Nothobranchius furzeri: one gene and its partners. The protein of the gene in region 3 interacts with the protein of the main gene of each other region in a pairwise test. Links are inferred from orthologs where the notes say so. Each region holds a gene or a part of one and is shown on either strand. Other genes may lie near its edges.

Region 1 (4,042 bases), on a different chromosome or scaffold from region 3:
TTTCTGTTTCTGGTGCTGTGAAGCTTGGAGGATTTTTACTGCTATTTTTTAGCTTTTTTCACTTTTTGAGTATTTGTTATGATGTGTAACCATGGCAACAGTCTGGTTTAAAATCAGGAGCAGCTGATTAACATTGGAAAGGCTGAAATAATACCCAAACTGAAGCCACAAATCCCAAATGAGCTAAAACGCAAGAAGCGTGGGTGCAGAGCGGAAGCAAAACGGAGACAGAGGAAAAGGAAATTCAAACCACCTCTTCCATCGATCATAATGGGCAGTGTGAGATCACTGGCCAACAAGATGGAGGAACTCCAAGCCCTTTCAAGGACTCAGCCAGAGTTTTGGCAGTTTCGGAACCACTGGAGGAGATAATGCAAAGAAGGATTCTCCATAGAATCAAGAAAATTATGGACAACCCTGAGCATTCTCTTCACAAGACTGTCCGACAACGGAAGAGTGTCTTCAGTCAGAGGCTTCTTCAGTTTCGCTGCAACACTGACGGCTACTGGAGATCCTTCCTGCCAACAGCCATTGTACAACTCTTTGACGACTTGATCATTATTATTATTCTGAGCTACTACAGCAATCAGTTTCCCTCTGGGATTATTAAAGTATTTTTAATTGAATTGAATTGAATGCTAAAATAATATTTTGTGTGTCAAACTTTGTTATAATTGGCATTTCTACTGAATCAATTAAAGAAATTTGAATATAGTTGTCGTGCCTACGATTAAACGTTAAAAAGACTCAGAAAAATGTTTATATATGTATGTATATATATATATATATATATATATATATATATATATATATATATATATATATAGATAGATAGATAGATAGATAGATAGATAGATAGATAGATAGATAGATAGATAGATAGATAGATAGAATTTTATTGGACAGAAATGTGTTGCAAACAGTAAAAGTCTGTAAAGAAAATCATAAAGTCTGAAAACAACAAGATTACAAAGTGGCTTTAAGATCACCTGGCTGGGACATTTAAACATTTTCCTACATTTAAATTTGAATTTCTGTTTCTTTTGTTACCTGAGAAGTACAACATGTCCCTGTGCAGACTGGGAAAAGCCCCAGGATGTAAATATAACCACAGACATAGACAATATATATGTCTGTGAATATAACCATATAAAGTAAAAGCAGTCGGTGTTTTCCTTTTTTTTCTTTTGTTCAAGCTGCGACAAATAAGAGGGGAGGGGCTTGTGTGAAACGTCATCAATGTGCTACGAACACCTGGAAGCGCAGCAAGATGTTTTACTGAAGTTCACATTGTTAATCACAATTTAGAGAAATAAAAACAACTGTTCCGTCACATTACGACGCGCCGAATTGTGTTGAACGGATCTGAAGATGAGTGGGAGCGAAAAACAAATGGTAAGGAAGCTGAAACGAGCCGTTCGGTTTGTTTATTTCCGATTTTTCTAGAAGTTTCCCGTCCGGGTAACCGTTACTCACCTTTTTTCCCTGAACTCAGGAGGACCCAGCAGCCCTGAAGGAGGAGGGGAACGCTCTCTTTAAGGCAGGAGACATGCAGGGCGCTGTCTGCTGTTACACCAAGGCGTTAAAGCTGACTGACAGCCGGGCTGACGGTGCTGTCCTCTACCGTAACCGCTCCGCCTGCTACCTGAAGCTGGAGGATTTCAGCAAAGCGGAGGCTGATGCCTCCAAAGGTCGGACACTTCTCTTTAATTTGCATAAATAAGAGCGCACAAGTTTCTATGGGGCCATGAAATCGCAGGGACATTTATGAAAGAGACTGTAGATCACCACACATAATAAATATAAAAAGTTACCACGCTAGGTATGTAAACAGTAGGTTATTTAGCAAAATACTCACAAGATTATATCTACTCAAGTAAAATTACTTATGTAAAAAATAAACAGTATAAGTACTGGCTTATTTTCGGTGTTTTTAGTGTTCTTTTTGTCTCATCTTGTATGCAGATCAGAAGTCTGCAGACTTTTCAGATCATCAAATAAAACACATTAACCAATCAGATTAAATAATGCATCAATACAACAGTTTTACTTGATTTTTAAAATAATTAAATTGACCAGTAAATTAAAGCTGTTTACCATTGCCATGGAAACAAATTAATTACTACATTTCCATTTATTTAGTCACACAGAACTCTGCTTATACAAACTGTCCTTTCGGCCTTTAAATTTGATAGTATTAATTTGCATTTAGCTGTTGCTACATCTTTGTGGGCATCACTATGTAACTGGACATCTCACAGTCTGGAAAGCAGATCATTTTGTGGCATGCCTGCCTTTTTCTGAACATGTAGCAGACTCGGTTTGAATCAAAACAATGTGAGATATATTAAATAAAGCCTTGCAAAATACATAAAAGTGAATTCATGGAGATTCCATTTTTCATATTAACAATACCCGGTACAGAGCCTCTACTACCTTCCCAAAACACTTGACAATTAGGAGATTATTGTTTGCTAAGGCTCATTATTCTGGGTATTGTACAAATCGTTCTTTGGTTGAAGCTTTTATTAGATGCACCACTTTAGTAAATGTTTCCAGGTGTTTTCCTTTGTTTGCAGCACTTGATTCTGACCCAGGCGATGTGAAAGCCAGGTTTCGGAGGGCTCAGGCTTTTCAGAAACTCGGTCGGCTCGACCAGGCTTTCCTGGATGCTCAGACGTGTGCGCAGCTCGAGCCTAAAAACAAAGCTTTTCAAGATCTGCTTAGACAACTGGGAACACAGATGCAGCAAAAGGTGATATGAAACTGATTAGGAGTTTTGTCTTGGAAGAAGCAGATGCTAATTTTAGCCCATGTTTGCAACCCTTTAGTCAGCTCAACTAAACTCCACAGATGCACGCGTGCAGCAGATGTTCTCCCTCCTCTTAGATGCTTCTGCTAAAGATTCAGATCGACAGAAGGTGCTAATTGCTCACTTCTCTGTAACTCTTGGTGTGTGTTTTATTGTCAACACTTACTAAATCAGTACAATACGTGCAACTTTTTAGGCAGCTCAGAATCTGGTGGTGTTGTCTCGGGAGGAAGCGGGAGCTGAGCAGATCTTCCGCAACGACGGGATGAAGCTAACTCAGAATCTTCTTCAGTCGAAGCAGGAGGACATTGTGCTTTCTGCTCTCAGGACATTAGTTGGTTTGTGCACGGGACATCAGTCGAGAGTAAGTGTCACCATCAGTGCGGCGTCTTTAAAGTTGTTTATTTGCAGCAGAGTGTTTGCTGATTTTCTTCTGTTGCCTTTTATTTCCAGACGATGGCGATAGTGAATGAACTGGGAATGGACCAGCTGTGTGCGGTAATGGGGTCAGGAGCTTCCACTGTGTCTTTGGCCGCCTGCCACCTCCTGCAGGTGATGTTTGAGGCTTTGACAGAGGGCATGAAAAGAGAGATCAGGGGAAAGGACGAAGCGATCCTTCCTGGTGAGTTTGACTATTTGCTTTTATAATAGGAGCTGGATCCGCTCAAAGCAGATCTACTGTATCATGTTTATAATCATATATTTGATTGTATCCATGTTTAATCTCCATCTGAATTCTACACAGAACCATCTAAGGAGCTGCGTTCAATGTTGCGCCACCTTCTAGAGATGATGCCTGCGCCCGATGTGTCAGGACCGGGCAGGGACAGTGCCATCAACCTCCTTGTTAAACAAGTTCCCCGCAAGTCTTTGAAGCATCCTGACAACTCTCTTGCCTTATGGGTTATAGACCAAGGTAGGAAACTCACCTGCATGCGGTCGTGTGTTCGTCTCATCCTCGTGCATTTACGGTCACAAAAATGTGGAATGTGGTGCCTAATCTCATGCAGGGCTGAAGAAAATCCTGCAGGTGGCTGGGACTGTTCCTGAGCTCTCAGAGGGACCCCCTCTTACGGACAACACTCACATGAGCTGCTCCGTGCTGCTAAGCAAACTCTACGATGACCTGAAGAGTGACAAAGAGAGGGAGAACTTCAGCAAACTGTGTGAAGAGTATATTCAGTAAGTTATTTACAAAAAATATTTCTAGGAGCCTTAATCCACCCCAAA
Region 2 (4,117 bases), on a different chromosome or scaffold from region 3:
TCATTAAGTAAATCTGGAAAAAAATTTAAATAAATTGCTAGAAACCTTTAAAAAAGGTCAGAATGAAAAGTGTACACATCAGCTGAAGCCAACACTAACTAGTTTCTTATTTTAAATAAAAGTTTAATTGCATAGAAATAAGTATTTAAATAAAAATATTGGTATTTTTTATTTGATACCAGCAACATGCAGGTGAATTTACTTAGTTTTTACATAAAGAGGAGATTTGCACTCCTCCATGAGGCATTTTTCAGTTAACCGGAGGTGAACCAAAGGCCACATGTTTAGTCATCAGTAGAGGGTGGTTGTAAATGATGGAAACAGCTTTTTAGCAGAGGGGAAATGGAAAACAGTGCAAGGTGATGTATAAAATGACAAACAGGTTTATAATAAACTTTGGAGCAAATAATCACTTCCAAAAATTGGGATATTCTAATTTTAGCTAATGTTCCACAACAAGTAATCCGTTTGGTGTGTGGTACATTTGGATGAACCCAACATAGAAGAAAAGCAGCGTTAGGTCAAAGAAATAGAATTTTACTTGTGATGAAAGAAATATTAAACAAAGGAGTTGTTGTGGTGTAAAACCAAACCAAAACAGAGCATGTATATTTGGTTTAGAGAGTGAATGACTTCCTTTTTTCTCCTTTGGGTAATTAAATAAATTGTTATCACCCTTCACCAAACTCTCTGACATTCCAGCAGTGTGGAAATATTCTCGGACTCATTCATTTGAAGTGTTGGGATATTTGACCAACCCTGTAAGGTCACAGTGGTTTTCTAATACACGATTAGTGTTGCTCTAAGCATCGTGGCATAATCTAATCTCCTCCGGTGTCTCGGTGCAGATTTAAGAGCTTTGATGATGCAAGTGAATAATCACATTGACTCTCTTTGGGTGTTTGGATGAACTGATAAGAGCACCGTCTTCCAGTTTTAGGAAGCAAACAGACTCAGATCTAGTTTGTGGTGAATGATCCAACTGTAAATGTGCTCTACACGCTTTAAAATAGTTCCCAAAAACTAATGAATCCAGAAGCAGATTTGGCCTGTAAAAGTATAAAATAAATAAAAAATAATAATGCAATGTATGTTCAACTTATGTTGTGTATTGTATTGATGAATTTGATACTTGCAGACCATCTCTGCTGATAAAAACTGAGATTTAAATCCAGGAATTTAAAATGATGGGGTTAAAACAACAGCATGTGTTATGAACTAGAGTTGGGTGCTAAACAACTAATGAGTGCAAATGTTTTCAGTTTTTAAAGGGGAAAGCCAAAATCTAGTAGTGTTTCCCTAAAAGTTTGAATTAAATGAATTTTGAATGTTTGGATGCAGATGAGCAGCGTCCTAGCTTAAGGGTAGAGTTTTTGCTGCCACAGGCATTAAGAGGGGGAAAGTAAATTATGGGGAGTTTATTCCCATTCCTGTTGTTTGTGGACACTATGGAAACCGTTGTGCTTTATTTTCTTCATTTTTTTGTTAAGGTGTCAGTGCATTTTTCCTACAAAGCCACAACATGTACCATCTTGTTTACTATTTTGAACCCCAGGCAGGTCTCCTCCCAAAAACTTGGCTTCTGTTCTTGCTCATGATGCCTTCACTGTCCCTTGGAATAATCAAAAAAACGAACTACTTCACTACACGACTTGGAAGAAGGAAAAGATTATTTTTCTTTCGAAATAGGTCAAAAATATGACTTCCCAAATAAAAGTACAGCAATGATTTGCTTCTCAGAACAGACAGCTTCACTTCGGATTTACCAGCCATTAGATTGCCCTTGAACGCATCTTCTTAACGCTGCCATGTTGTTGTTTTATCCACGGAGTTTCCAGCTGCTGTCGGTGTCTGCGGACACAGTGGTCAGTTCTCGAGGCAGACTTACTACTTTACCGATATCACCTGGAATACAGCAGAACTTTAGATCTATTGCAGAAGCTATTTCACAGTGAGTGCTACCGTCGGGTATGTAGTTCTTTGGGTTTATAAGTTGACTGATGATACTTTAACTCTTTGGCTAAAGCTGGTTCCGTGGGTTTCAGCTACTTTTTCCTCATTCATGTTAATAGCCTGTAAAAGCCCGCGTTGTGTGGGTGCTTTTCTTTTCCTTTCTCCTAAATGTTTATCGATTATCGAAACTGGGAACCGCTTTTTCACTCAAAACCGAACAAAAAAGAGTGAAGATTAGCTTTAAAGTAAAATGTATGAAGTGCTTGGAAGCTAACGTCTGAGCTAGCTAGCTAAGTCTGCCAACGGGCACCACTTTCTTTTGCCAACTTGGACAAAAAGTTGAAAAGTAAATTGAACTTTGAGACGTGAGGCATTGATAATAAGACTTTAACTTGTTTGTGGAATAATTACGTTCAATAATTGGTGGAAGTGCTGGACAGACTGGAAACACTTGAACAGTTTAGGTGGAAATACTTGGGCAGAAACTACTAACTTCAATGTGTCTTGGCTAATGGTAACAAATGGAAACTGAACTATTCGGGCAGTTGGGAGTCCACCTTATCGCAACACAGTTGTGGACGTGTGTACTCGAGTTTTCTACCACAAAAAAGGGAAGTTTGATATGTCTTCATTGTGTCTAAGTGCATAAAATCTCCATTAGCTTCAGATGACTGAGGGCATAATAAAGCAACATTTATTTACACATATTCTGTCCCCGTGGTATTGAGTTTATTATCTGTTTACAGCAACACACATTTTAGGTTAGAGCAATACTATTTAAATCATTAACACTGTCTCAAAGAAGAGTGAAACATTAAACATAAAATGTAAAAAAATAAAATAAAAATAAAACTTATTTGATATCTATTGCACACAACATTGTTTTAGATTGAAATAGTTCATTTGTTTTTGTATTTTCCCCTTAATTTTTCTAAGTTTGCATTTCTTTAAAGTATGTGTCTATTAAAAATTGTAGCATTTTTCTTATTTATATATTTTCTTATAGAATTTTCTACTTCTCTTTCAAATTCAGTTTCTTTTTTAAGTTTCTGTGACTTCACATTATTGCAAAGATTATTATGAAACCAGGTGAGACAAGCTGTCGTTCAGTCATAGATGAAAACACAACATTGCAAAATATTTACACCCGCACCAGTGTCAGAGGGGGACAAGCTTAACTTTCTATTTTTTAAGGATCTAAAGTAGTAAAATTAGAGCCCTATGAAATCCATTTCATTTTCTTCCCTAGTTGAGATTTTCTTTTTTTTTTATTCAACTTTTTTTTTACATGGTAACAAATGATTAGATAATAAAAAAAATTAACAAGATTTTCTGGGGAAAACAAGCTTTTAAAATAGATGACAGTTTTTCTAGTGAGAGTTGCTTTTTGTTTCTAAAAATGGGTTGCAGTGCCTAAATCTGGTGACAGAATGTCATTCTTACTTCATCCTTACATATTGCACCTTTGGTAACAGCAAGCATTAATAACATGCCGCTGTAATTTCTGCTAAATTATATATAAATAGTAAAATGAAATCAGTGATTTTTGTTACCAGTAGTAGTCAAGACCCCCACCACCAAAGAGGAGTTCAAGCAGAAGATGCAAAAAAACAAACAGACAAAAAAAACATCAATAAATGTACTCAAACTTTAAAACTTCAATGCTTGTATTAAAGCCAATTTATTTTCAGGCTGTATTTTTAATGTTTGTTTGCATTCTAGCTTTACAAATGAAGGCAGTGGTCTTTCAGGATGTGGCATGTTACTCTACAGCTAGCATAGCCTCTGTTGCAATGTGTTGCATTTTAAATGACACAGTTTTAAATGTGATCCTCTTCATTTGCGTAATGAGGTAGGAATGCCCACAGTTATGTTTAAAACATTCTCAGGAATCTTAAGCCTGCCGCACACGAGAGCAATCTGCAGAGCAAACGGCCTCGAATGACCGTTGGCTCAGCAGATTGCTCGCCGTGTGCACCTGATTTTCACTGAGTTTTCCACCTCACAAGAAGCTGAGACGAATATCTGACCATTCAGATATTTTCCGCCTCACGGGGGGTAGAAACTCACCGTGTGCGCACTACTGAGCTGCCGGCTGAGCTGAACTATTCTAGTGGCCAATCGAAGCGCCTTCTCTGATCACATGATTCCAAGATGGCAGCCC
Region 3 (3,339 bases):
GACGAGTTTTCAAGGGGTCTATTTTTATGTAACTTACAAAATCCACATAAATACAAAGGCAGCACGGAAATCAGCATCTTTTAACCAATTACTTGCTTCCTGTCAGTTTAGGGGAAATGGTAACATTTCAACTACAAATATTACATTTTATGTAAAAAAAAAAAAAAGTGAAAATGTATAAGAATGAAGTTTTACCAGTCCAAGAAAGTAAATATTTGAAATTTCATTTTTCTAATGGTTAAGTGGATATTCACTTGACCTGATACAAATATAGTTCTTCCAGGCAGCTATTTTTTACAATAATTTGAAGGAAAAAAGACAACTCTGGGATATGCAAGCATCTCCAAAGTAGAGGGAAAAGGCTAAAACAAAATTAACTTTCCAGCACAAACTACGAAAAACAATGCAAACACATTTTTGCTGAATCATAAACTTTTCCTGAAACATTTATGTAATTTTGACACATTTTCAGAGTGACAAAAATAACTAATAAAATACACACTGAGCCATGAATACATCCAAAAAGGATAAAATAGTTTTATTTATAATCTCATAATAAAGGTATGCCTTAACTTGCAAGACAACCATTGGCAGTATGTACAACATACCTGTAATTTCCATGGAATGGAACAAATATTTATTACATACACACATTTTTTTTTAAACTTTTAAGATCAACATTCCCAGCGCAGGCAAATATTTCAAGGGAAGGCTTTTCATTGCAGAACTGACACCACTGGGGAGTATACAGTGTTATATACTACACACTGAAATGGACTTCCATGAACAAAAATTAAAGTCACTGTCCTATAACTTCATTGTGTAACATTCAGTATCAATTAAGTGATTTTTTTAAACATAACCACATGTATAAACTCTGAATAACTATTCAAAAGCTGTGAAAATCCTCTTGTAAATCAGTATAGAGATCAGCCATATGGATAGACTATATAATGGGGAGAAAAGGGGGATTTTATGTGATTCAAGTAAGTTCTCAAAGTCAAAAACTTCAGTCACCTACATCAAAAAGGAGGGCACACCTTGCATTCCAGGCATGTTTACTGAAAACAAATTCACATTTTTATATGAATATTAAAAACACTAATTCTTTCAATTATCATTCCATAAAAGGTGTTAAAATCTCACAATTCAACAAACTGCAAAAGTTGTTTTGTAGCTTTACTAAAGGCTCACGTGTCATTTCATGAACATGTTATCACAAGGTTTCAAAAGCATCAAGTCCTTCAAAAACTGCTGAGCTGCCTCACTTTGGGGATAATAAAAGTCATTGCTGGGTCACAAAAACAGGAGGAAACAACAAGGTAGAAGCGTTTTAATAAAACAGTAACAGCACCTAACACACTGTCTCCTTCTTGTGTCTTGGACTGATTTAAGAAGTTAGGAGCATAAGAAGACAGGTCAGAGATGCTGGAGCTGGTGGATGCAAAGAGTCTGGGGGGCACCGGAGTTTAACTGGCCTCCACACGCAGCTTCTTTCTGCTGGGCGGCTCCTCTGGCTCCGATTCGGAGGTGGAGTCGGACCCGCCGTCAAATGCGGACACTGCGCTTCCTTTGCGGTTTTTGTACAAGCTGCTGTCAGAAGAGTAGTTTGTCTGGAGTTGAGTGTTCCCTTTGGCCTTCTCCAGTGCACGAACTTAAAGGGATCAGCAATGAAAACAGAAAGTGTAGTAAAACGTTACAGTTACTGTGTGAATGTGTTCGATTAGGGATTGCTCCCATTACCTTGTTGCTCCAGCAGTGCGTTCTGCTTCTTTAAATCATCAATGTCCTGCTGGTGGGTGTGATTTTTTCTCCTCATGAACTGGATGTACTCTGTAGCTTTGTCTAATATCTGTGCTCGTGAAGCCTGTTGAGGAAGAACAATGTCTTAGAGCCATGCGACAACTTTGTAGTCGTTTTGCTTAATGCAAAATATAACAAATGCATCGAGACGCACGCAAATCCAGAACATCACAGGGAAGATGGATGTCTGTTCAAGGGAATGTTGTGTAGTTTTCTACCTTGTTACCATTACATGAGGCTTTAAAACAAACTGTTGAGTATTGCACTGGAATGAACTGCGGTGTGTTTAAAAAAGACAAGGCTTCAGCATAAATAAGCATCTGATGCAAAAGTGACATCATTTCATGAAAAATGTATTAAACTGATTTTTTTCTAACTTGGGTGCGAAATGCAAGCTCAGCGATGCGTCACTTCCCACAGGAAGCTCTTCAGACGCCAAACAGCAGTGAAAGCGTACCACACAGCTGGTCCCGCGAGGTCATGGTGCCTCGGGAGAATTGCAAGATCTTGGCAGTTAAAGTAGCTGTTCTGTTTACTTCAGCTATGGAGGCGTCAAACTTAATGGCATACTTTTCTTACCTAGAAAAACAATGGGAAATCTGCATGTGGCTTTTAGTTTGAAAGTTTCCAGATGTTTTACACGGCTCCTGTGTTTGATTTCCTGTCCGACTCAATCTGAACAACTGAACTTGACGCAATCTGGAAGAACAGCGCATAAAAATAAACTCGAGGTGTGAACGTAGAAGAGCAACGGAACACTATGCTTCTGGGACGTGTGCAAAATTCACCACTTTGCAGCCGCTGGAAACACACCCATCGACTATAACAATGACTATTAGCTGCGTGCTATGCTTAGCAGACGTTACGCAACACCTAACCCCAAAATTCCACTACCTCCGCTCCGCCCCCGCCTTCTGCAGCCGCTCGCTTCCGAACTCAATTTTTACTGGTACCCGCTCTACAACGGCTCCGCTCCGGTGCGGAGACCTGAGGTGGGCAAACAGGCATGCGCGGGATTTTCGAGATCTTGCGATACAGTCCGAGCAATAAACGCAGAAGTTATATCCAAACACCCGTTGTGTGGGAGAAGCATCGAAATGAACTGTTTAATCTGCCCATCATTTGTGTTGACAGATCAGCAGTGTTTGGATCAACTAAGTGTGACTACTTTGATAGTGGAAACTATATTTATGGCTCATTTTTGTGCATTTAAAGTTCTGCCGCCATTGATAGTTGTTAAAAGTTGTTAAACCTGTGCATATGAAACAAAAAACGCTTTTTGTTATTGATTTATTGTGAAATAATGGAAGCTGTGCTTGCACCCTTTCCTGTTGGGCGGTTGTGATTTCTGTCCATCGACTGCGGAGGTGCTCCGGCGTCCGTCAAAAATAGAATTGATCCTATTTTTGCCGGATGGCGGAACGGTGGGCGGCGCACTGCGCCGCACAGCCGCAGTAGTGGAACAGCTCTGATTGACTACAACGGGACCGATTTTGCTGCAGAGTTCGTGCCGGAGCGGAGGTAGTGGAATTTTGG
Region 4 (4,076 bases), on a different chromosome or scaffold from region 3:
ACCGACAGCCACATTTGAAATAATTCTGTCTGTGGTAAAAGACCCCAAAGTAAGCACAACACAAACATTAATTATGTTACTGGTCTTCGGGGTCCTTTTTCTCATCATTTGCATTGAAAGTCATTTCCTCAATGTGATGCCTTCAGAATGCAGTCCAGCAAACATCTGGCTGCTAGCATTACAAACTGCCTGCCATGCACAACAAACCACATTTGCACGCCCCTGTTGAGCTACTCATAACTCTTCCTATGCTTCAGCAGCTTTGACACTCTGCCCAAGCTCACTTGGCGCTGGACATGATGGGTCATCCCACTTTCAAATGAACCTCAAGTTCTGGATCCACAGCCGCAATTACAGACTCCAGACCAGTCACACGATCTGAACTTCATTTGGATGAGATCAATGAATTTAGATTGAAGGGGGGTGGATTTGCAATAAAATGGATGGCATTCAACAAAATGTTTAGGTCATCCTTCGAGATTCAGCCTTTGCTATTCATGTCATTTCACAATTTCTAATCTAATTAAACATTGAAATTTAGTATAAAAAAATATATATATATAATCTAAAAATAATGGCCATAATTTAGCACATTCTGCCAAACTCTTAGAATCTTCATTTTGTCTCTTTAAATGTAGATATATGGTGTTTATAAAATTGTTTAATTGTGAAAATACATTTAAAAGCCTTTTATTTTGAAGTACACACTTGATTAGCTCTAGTTATTATTACACTTGACAGGTGCTTAAATAAACTACATCATTTTCAACTTTCTTTACTGTGTATTTCTTAATACCAAGCTAACGAGTGTGTTGCCATATTGTATCTTCACATCAGAAATTCTCATCTCAGTTTCTAGCAGGACTTTCATAATGACATGGACAGGAAATGAGCACCAAAACACGAACACCGCATGCTAGCAGGTCTGTTATACCACACGCTCCTATGAGAAATAGGACCAGACGTCTTGTTGACTGAAAGAGTGCAGTTTACTTCACCACTAGAATGAAAAGAAAAAAAAACACCATACTTTGGGAACTTTATCTCATTTGGCAACCAAACCACCCCAAGTTCAAGAAAATGCACGCCCAGAGTCGCTTCCAGCCAATCATATGCGTCCTTCATGTGTAAAACCAATCAGCTTCAAGATAGGTGTGGCGCTGAAGCTGTTGCTAGGGCATGTCCCCAATGACTTCAGACAGTTTAGCCAATCAAATAGCAGCAAAGAGCTTCATTGGTGAGGACACACCTGGGACCGGCGGAGAGCCTTTTCTGATTGGATAAAGTCACGATCACTCAACTTCCTGAGTTCAGGAGCTTTATTGTAGTTTGGAGTCGCTAAGACTCAGAAGTGAACGTAGCAGCGCACATACATCGCTCTGAAACAGTTTATTTTTTACATTTTCATTCCATTATCCTATGAATTGTTTATTTGTGTAAATAGATTTTTCTATTTTTATGACGAGACATCAAAGAAGATGGAACTTAATTCTCTTTTAATTCTGCTGGAGGCTGCAGAGTATTTGGAGAGACGAGACAGAGGTAAAGGTAAAGCTGGGCTGACAGCGTTTATAGATTATTTTCTGTAGCTGTTGGGTTTAGGAGGAAGGGGTTTGAGTTGATGTTTGGGGTTTAACAACATCCACAGTGCAGGTATGATGTCACTTTTCCCTTTCAGTGGGGCACAGACCAGGCGATGGGTACATCCTGGACTCAGCAGCTTTATGCTTCAGAATAATCACAGATTAAATTTTTTATATATATATTCTACGTTTTTCTTTTTTGGGTAGATTTATTTTTTTCTAAACACACGTTTTTTGTGCTTTTAATATGCCTTATAAAATATCTGAAAAATGTGGTTGTTTAGCCTTGATGTATTTCCTATTTATTCACTCACTTTCCCCGCTTTTATGGCTTATTTATTTATCAGTTTATTTCCCCCCTTGTGATTTATTTTTGCTTTGTGTCAACAGAGGCAGAGCACGGCTATGCGTCGGTTTTACCCTACAGCAACGACTATTCCCGAAAGAAAACAAAACCTACGACAATTTCCAGAAAATCTCCGAACAACAGGTAAAATTCACCCCATTCTTTGTGTGTTTACACTCGTGACAGCTCGTGCAAACCCTCCTATATGCAGACACTTACACATATGCAGTAGTACATAAAGTGCTTTGGTGTCTGAGCTGGTCTGGGATCGGTGTTTTGGTCTCTCCAATCAACAGTGCCACGCGTACACTGTCAACTCTGCTGCCTCTGCTCAGTTTCTGTTGCTGTTAGCCTCCCCATGCCAAGAGGAGGGGCACACACACACACACACACACACACACACACACACACACACACACACACACACACACACACACACACACACACACACACACACACACACACACACTTTACCATTCTAAACTAAGCTTACGCCTACTTGAAAGCCCTAAATGTCATTTTTTATTTTATTTCTTCATGTGGTGTTTTGTTTGGTGTCTTGTTGCTAAATGCAAGTCCTGCAGAAGATGAAACAAAGAGAAGGGGTTCGCATTTCAGAAACTGCAATCCCTTTTCCCCACACACCCAGAGAGACCATGAAGGCCTCATTGTTGCTCGATCAAAACAGCAGCTTCTCACCCGTGAGGCTTTCACGGACCTGCTGCTTCTGCCCATTACAGGCGGATATTGAGGAGCCACGTCATTACGTAACATAAAGAGCAGGTTTCAGTTTTGGTTTTCTGATTTCAGACCTGCTGGACCTGTTAAACATCAACAGCTTTTATCTACTCTTTTAAAGAGACAATGTGTAGTTTTTACTGTTTATCTCTAGAAATATCCATCCAAACGTAGTGGAAAAAGAATTCAATGTTGAAAAATATTGGCAGCTTTGTAACATAACCATGACAATCTAGTCTGAAAATACACGGTGGTGGGTCTAAGTTTCTGGGCAACGCCATTTTAGACACCTCTGTCTTTGGGAGCTCGTGAAGACAAAACACATCTACTTATTTGTCACAAACGGTTTTTAAAACTTTCGCCGTTCATAAATGTTGTTTTACACATTTACCTCTTCACTCGTTGCCTGTGATGAAAGGGAGTATGATGTGTTTGTCATTTTGCTGGAGGTTGTGCTCCCAGGGATTTTTGACCCTAATGGCTATCCATTGGTAAGGTCTCACTCGAACACAAAAATATCAGATGCTTGCAACGATTTAGGCAAGTACCGCCCCCTATCGCCAGGGAAACACACGCAGTCACTTGAAACTTTAAAACATTGAACTTGGGATAGACCGATAGATCGAGACGATATTTACCATTTTTGATACGTCACATCTGCCGATAAACCGCTTTAGTAATGCCGATTTAAAGTCGGGCACATTCTTGGGCAGTCTGGTGCTGCCGCAGGGTTTTATTTGAATGTACGTTTACGTTCTTGAAAACATCTGCTTAGTCAATGTTCAACTGACGTTTCTTTATGTTTACCGTATTTTTTGTATTTATTACTTGATCCGTTCGTCGATTTGTTTGATTACCTTTGGGTAAATGTTGGTTCTTATACTGCGCCGTGTACAAAATCAAGATCCAAGAGCTGGTTCGATTCTGACATTCAAGACTGATCACGTTCAGAAATGTTGTGCTTCCACTTTTAATGGTGACATTTTAGCATGCAGACACGGTGGAGAACAACTAGATTTTGGCCACAAAAATCGGCAGCACATATCGGCCATCGGCTCATCTTGATTTCTACATATCGGTATCAGCATTAGAAAAAGCCATCTAGGTTAATCTCTATTTAGAACTGTTACATTTAGGTTTTATATGTTTTTGTAACATTTTCAACCTGATTCATGTTTCTGTTGATTCTTTGAAATCATAACTTGCCAGTGTGAGCTGGCCCCTACTTAATTTATGTTTTATTTAAAAAAACACCTAATCTAGATTTGATAAACTGCACAATTTACTCAAAATAGATGTGGCGCGATATTTTACTCACCTTTTGACTCACTTTTAATTCACTGTAATTGCTAAAAACAGAATTGAGACAATAGGTGGACCGTCCCGTTTCTGTGTCACGAATGGATGGT
Region 5 (4,050 bases), on a different chromosome or scaffold from region 3:
TCTATTCACAAGTATGGAATAGCTTCCAACTACCGAACATAGTGTCCGTTACATAAAAGCGCAGCGCTTAGACTAGCAGTGGCGCTAAAAATCAAGGCTAACTAGCCTACTTAGATGCGGTGACTGGTTGCTGCTAGCTACCTGGTTCGCCCTGGTGTTGGACAGCCTATCCAGCCCAGCATCTCCGCCGCCACCGCCAGCTGCATCGCCGGGAGAGACAGGGCTCTTCGCTGCGCTCTGCTGCTGTCCAGGCACAAGCTCTTTCTGGGCGACCGTTTGCTGCTTGCTTTTCTTCCTTGCCATTACGTCGGTGTTAACGATGCGCTTTGGACAAGTTTGCACCAGTTTCGGTAATTTAACTAGCACACTTTCGTTTCTTCTCGGACCTGAAAATGTTCTCTATCTCCTCCAGTGAAGACAACAGTGAATATGGCGGAGGACTGGCACACTCGGAGGTTCAGAGGTTAAAGATACTACTGGCAGAGAGGCTTCACTCCGCTACCGAGAGCTCGGTAACAGTGTCCATTCAGGCGGCGAAGCCATGTACCGCCATCTTTAGTAGGGGCAAAGATCCCTTTCTGTTTTGTAGAAGTAGATCATATATAAACATTTTTATGTTTCGACTTGTGTATTTATATATATATACTTTATCAGGATGATGTCCTATTTAAATCGGTGTTAGTGATTTGTCATTATTTCTTCAAAATAAATTAGAACATGTCTTTTGAGGGACCGTGGCAAAATGCAAATAAATAAATAAAAACCCAGGTATTCAGTTGGGTATTTTCGTTCATGTCTTAAGTTTTGGAGCCATTTTATGACTCAAAGATCAGAGTTATATGGCTTAAAATAATAAAGAGAAAGTGGCTAGAAGACTGGAATCTAATAGCCAATTCCAAAGCGTAGAGACGTATTAATCAAGTCCTCGTCTCCCTCATAACAATGTACATAAATGCTGGATGACCCAAGACTTTTGCACAGAAGAACTAGTAGACCTTTGAGAGGGGAGTGGTTGTGTGGATGTATTTTGACCCCTTTAAGTACCTTTGGAAATTTTATGCACTGCAACACAATGGGCCGCTCATTCAAATAAGTAAATTCCTAATCGACCCAATAAAACATTTAAGAATAATAATATTAGGCATATAAACTGTGCGCGCACAATTTTATTTCAAAGCCATTCAGTCACACGAGACTAGAATATAACCTCGGGATTTATCCGAGCCTACGTGCGGTACGTGAACGTAGCGCCATTGTCAGTTCTGTACGCTGAAGACGTAGCATACACACAGCTCTTCATCTGGTTTGGCTGTTATTGCTTGTTCCACTTTAGTTTGTTTACCTGAGTTTTTTTTTTAATTTTCAAAATTGAAAACATAAAAATGGAAGGAAACTTTTGCAACATCCAGGTGCTTCTTCGAGCTGCTGAATTTCTGGAAAGGAGAGAGCGGGGTACGTGTTTTACGTCACCTTTCAGCCTATGGGTAGTTACTGGGTTATCACGAAAACAACAAACACGAACCAGCTGTAAATGTGAACGCGGTTTATTATTCCGGTGATGTGACTGTTTACATGTGACCGGGATTTGAGCTGGAGCTCATGTTTGTTGGTGTTTGCCTTTTGACTCAGTGACCTACATACCGGTGGCATCTTTGTTAGTGGAAGGCGCCAATCTGCGCCAGTTTGAAAATGAATCCGGGCGGCGCTGAGCGGTCTTCGTTAGGCTGAATGAAACTAAGGCTGAAACGGACCTTTAGTACAAGCTGCATCGCTGACAGACCGCGTAGAGTCCATGTTAGCCACTTTTAGTTTATCAGGCTCGAAGTTACAGTTTAAATAAAGCGGGGAGCTGGTAGGTGATGGCGCCAAAACCCAAAAGTAAACGTCCAGCCGGTGACGGATGACCTGTTTCCACCCGTATTACGTCCATTGTATTCATGTGTACTCGACCTCAGATTGTTGGTACGATGCAAAGCTATTTTTAACATCGTGAACCAGCTGCGTCTGACTCAGCTGTGATGGCTGTTTCTCCCCCCGTGCAGAAGCAGAACACGGATATGCTTCGGCCCTGCCTTTCAGTCCAAGCGACTCCGATAAGAGAAGCAAGCAGAAGAGCAGGAGGATATGTGCTGGTGGCAACAGGTGAACACATTATATAACAGATAACTGACAAGAGGGTGTGTCAGCTTTTAGGTCTGAACTCCCCCTTCAGGCACTGTGCCTGAGTTTTTCATTACTGCTGTTGTCTCTGACCAAGGTTCTTATTGTCATCTGCAGGTCGGTTCACAATGAGCTGGAGAAAAACAGGTAATCAGAAAAATGAGATGCCGGCACTTGTTTGTAGAAGATGTTGTTATTGTTCAGTGAGTTTGATGATGTGTTGTTTGCAGGCGAGCTCAGCTGAGGCATTATCTGGAGCAGCTGAAGAAGCAGGTTCCTGTGTCATCAGACTCCTCCAGGAACACCACGCTCAACCTGCTGAGACAAGCTCAGCTTCACATAAAGGTACACGTGAAGCTCAGATCTGGTGGGAATGTTTTGAATGGCGTAGATCTCGGTTTGGAGAAAGAGGGATTCATTCTGGGTCAGGTGGTCAGGTTAGGGCCTGAGGTAGCTAGCGCTGCAAGTAACCACAACAGATAACCACGTAATGTGATGTTTATTGTGGTGTAAAGTTTATAAAATGTCATGTTGGTATTCACTGCTATCAGACCTTTGAGATGAGTTATTTCAAGACTACAGAACCACTTTGTAGCTAGCACCCTTCAGACTAGCTACAGACCCTCCACAAACTAGTCACCTGCAGCTGGTACCAACAGTCACTTTCAACGATCTAATCTCAAGTTTAGCCACTCTTTTAGCGCTGCTAAGTCGCAAGAATAAGAATGATGGGAAACAAATTTTACGAACCAGTGTGTGTGTGTGTGTGTGGCCTCTTACTGAGAAGGTGGATGTGTAGGAACTTAATGCAGATCTGAGGAGTCTGCATCTTTTCCAGAGAGCAGCAGTGAGAACAGATGATGTCAAAGGTCAGTAGAGTCCTTTAGTGTTTGCAGAAATGTAGTCTTGGTTGTGCTTAGCCAGCCTGTCACCTGCTGCAGACCCTTTCTGTCCTCTGAGGTTGACACCACAGCAGAGGCAGATCGGTCAACGTGAACATGAAGGTCTTCGCCCCCTTAACCCGCGTGAAGATGGTTCTGTACACGTTTGCTCATCTGTTTCTGCCTTTCCGTTTGCCTGGTTTCAGAAACTTCAAGAGCAGGACGAGCGCGCAGAGAAGCTGAAAGGTCACCTACGCTGGCAGCAGAGGGAGCTGCGGGTTCGGTTGGAGCAGCTGCAGAGAGGGACAGAGAGGATGAGGAACAACAGCCAGGGGTCCACCATGTCCTCCGAGAGGTCGGACTCCGACAGAGGTGGGTCTCAGCTCAACCTTGCTACTTGGTGGAAGGTCCTTTCTCATGCTATTTACTTATTACTGTAACAGAGGACGTGGAGGTTGATGTGGAGAGCATCGTGTTCGACTGCGTGGATTCTGACGGGCTGAGCTTTGCACACACGGATGTAGACCACTGTTACTCCAGCATGGACAGAGCCTGGCTATGACTCCAGGGAAAAGACGATGTGTTTGTTTAGCCAGGAGGAGGAAACGGGAAGAGGAGAAAAACATTCCAAAAACAGAGGACGAAGGACGAGATGAAGATGTTACTGTACAACTAAACTCTCTAGTTTTTAATGATCTAAATGAGAACAGGTGTATTTGAACTGAACGGGGAAGGATGTTACATTATGAAAATGCTTCCATCAACACGTGATGTCATTTCCTCACAACCATCAGGTGTTTTACCTTCCAGTGATTCATTGTTTAACAGGAACAAAACGAGGGCTTTTATACAAGAATCTGAACTCATCCAGTATGCCTGCTAAACTCTGCCTTAAAGCTATTTAGCTGTTTTAGTCCAGCTTCTCCTTCAGCACCAAATTTACAAATGGTTGCATGCACTTAGACATTAATCTGCGCTACATTGTTTTGTTTCATTCGTGGTTTAAGCT

The links.
Region 1: the proteins of protein max (region 3) and unc45a interact in binary tests that used the Homo sapiens proteins (3 or more experiments, as listed by UniProt). The two-hybrid records come from large-scale screens. The link is inferred for Nothobranchius furzeri from reciprocal best matches to the Homo sapiens genes MAX and UNC45A.
Region 2: the proteins of protein max (region 3) and plekhf2 interact in binary tests that used the Homo sapiens proteins (3 or more experiments, as listed by UniProt). The two-hybrid records come from large-scale screens. The link is inferred for Nothobranchius furzeri from reciprocal best matches to the Homo sapiens genes MAX and PLEKHF2.
Region 4: the proteins of protein max (region 3) and mxd4 interact in a two-hybrid assay, tested with the Homo sapiens proteins (2 studies listed by BioGRID). The link is inferred for Nothobranchius furzeri from reciprocal best matches to the Homo sapiens genes MAX and MXD4.
Region 5: the proteins of protein max (region 3) and mxd3 interact in a two-hybrid assay, tested with the Homo sapiens proteins (4 studies listed by BioGRID). The link is inferred for Nothobranchius furzeri from reciprocal best matches to the Homo sapiens genes MAX and MXD3.

What each region holds. Positions count from the first base shown.
Region 1 is NC_091744.1:74,263,478-74,267,519, reverse strand, and holds the start of unc45a (protein unc-45 homolog A), read left to right. Parts: upstream 1-1,233; 5' UTR 1,234-1,371; coding exon 1,372-1,395; intron 1,396-1,495; coding exon 1,496-1,691; intron 1,692-2,579; coding exon 2,580-2,755; intron 2,756-2,831; coding exon 2,832-2,921; intron 2,922-3,008; coding exon 3,009-3,176; intron 3,177-3,265; coding exon 3,266-3,434; intron 3,435-3,557; coding exon 3,558-3,728; intron 3,729-3,822; coding exon 3,823-3,994; intron 3,995-4,042.
Region 2 is NC_091745.1:67,587,102-67,591,218, reverse strand, and holds the start of plekhf2 (pleckstrin homology domain-containing family F member 2), read left to right. Parts: upstream 1-1,305; 5' UTR 1,306-1,951; exon of another isoform or gene 1,952-1,968; intron 1,969-4,117. UniProt on the Homo sapiens protein: May play a role in early endosome fusion upstream of RAB5, hence regulating receptor trafficking and fluid-phase transport. Enhances cellular sensitivity to TNF-induced apoptosis.
Region 3 is NC_091758.1:33,255,050-33,258,388, forward strand, and holds the end of protein max, read right to left. Parts: intron 1,868-3,339; coding exon 1,744-1,867; intron 1,655-1,743; coding exon 1,470-1,654; 3' UTR 514-1,469; downstream 1-513. UniProt on the Homo sapiens protein: Transcription regulator. Forms a sequence-specific DNA-binding protein complex with MYC or MAD which recognizes the core sequence 5'-CAC[GA]TG-3'. The MYC:MAX complex is a transcriptional activator, whereas the MAD:MAX complex is a repressor.
Region 4 is NC_091746.1:81,015,224-81,019,299, reverse strand, and holds the start of mxd4 (max dimerization protein 4), read left to right. Parts: upstream 1-1,273; 5' UTR 1,274-1,478; coding exon 1,479-1,542; intron 1,543-1,973; coding exon 1,974-2,073; intron 2,074-4,076. UniProt on the Homo sapiens protein: Transcriptional repressor. Binds with MAX to form a sequence-specific DNA-binding protein complex which recognizes the core sequence 5'-CAC[GA]TG-3'.
Region 5 is NC_091741.1:102,024,318-102,028,367, reverse strand, and holds mxd3 (max dimerization protein 3), read left to right. Parts: upstream 1-1,250; 5' UTR 1,251-1,382; coding exon 1,383-1,452; intron 1,453-1,830; exon of another isoform or gene 1,831-1,937; coding exon of another isoform or gene 1,938-1,962; intron 1,963-2,042; coding exon 2,043-2,142; intron 2,143-2,277; coding exon 2,278-2,307; intron 2,308-2,390; coding exon 2,391-2,505; intron 2,506-3,247; coding exon 3,248-3,413; intron 3,414-3,484; coding exon 3,485-3,603; 3' UTR 3,604-3,813; downstream 3,814-4,050. Other genes in the region: protein FAM193B, read right to left, coding at 142-303. UniProt on the Homo sapiens protein: Transcriptional repressor. Binds with MAX to form a sequence-specific DNA-binding protein complex which recognizes the core sequence 5'-CAC[GA]TG-3'.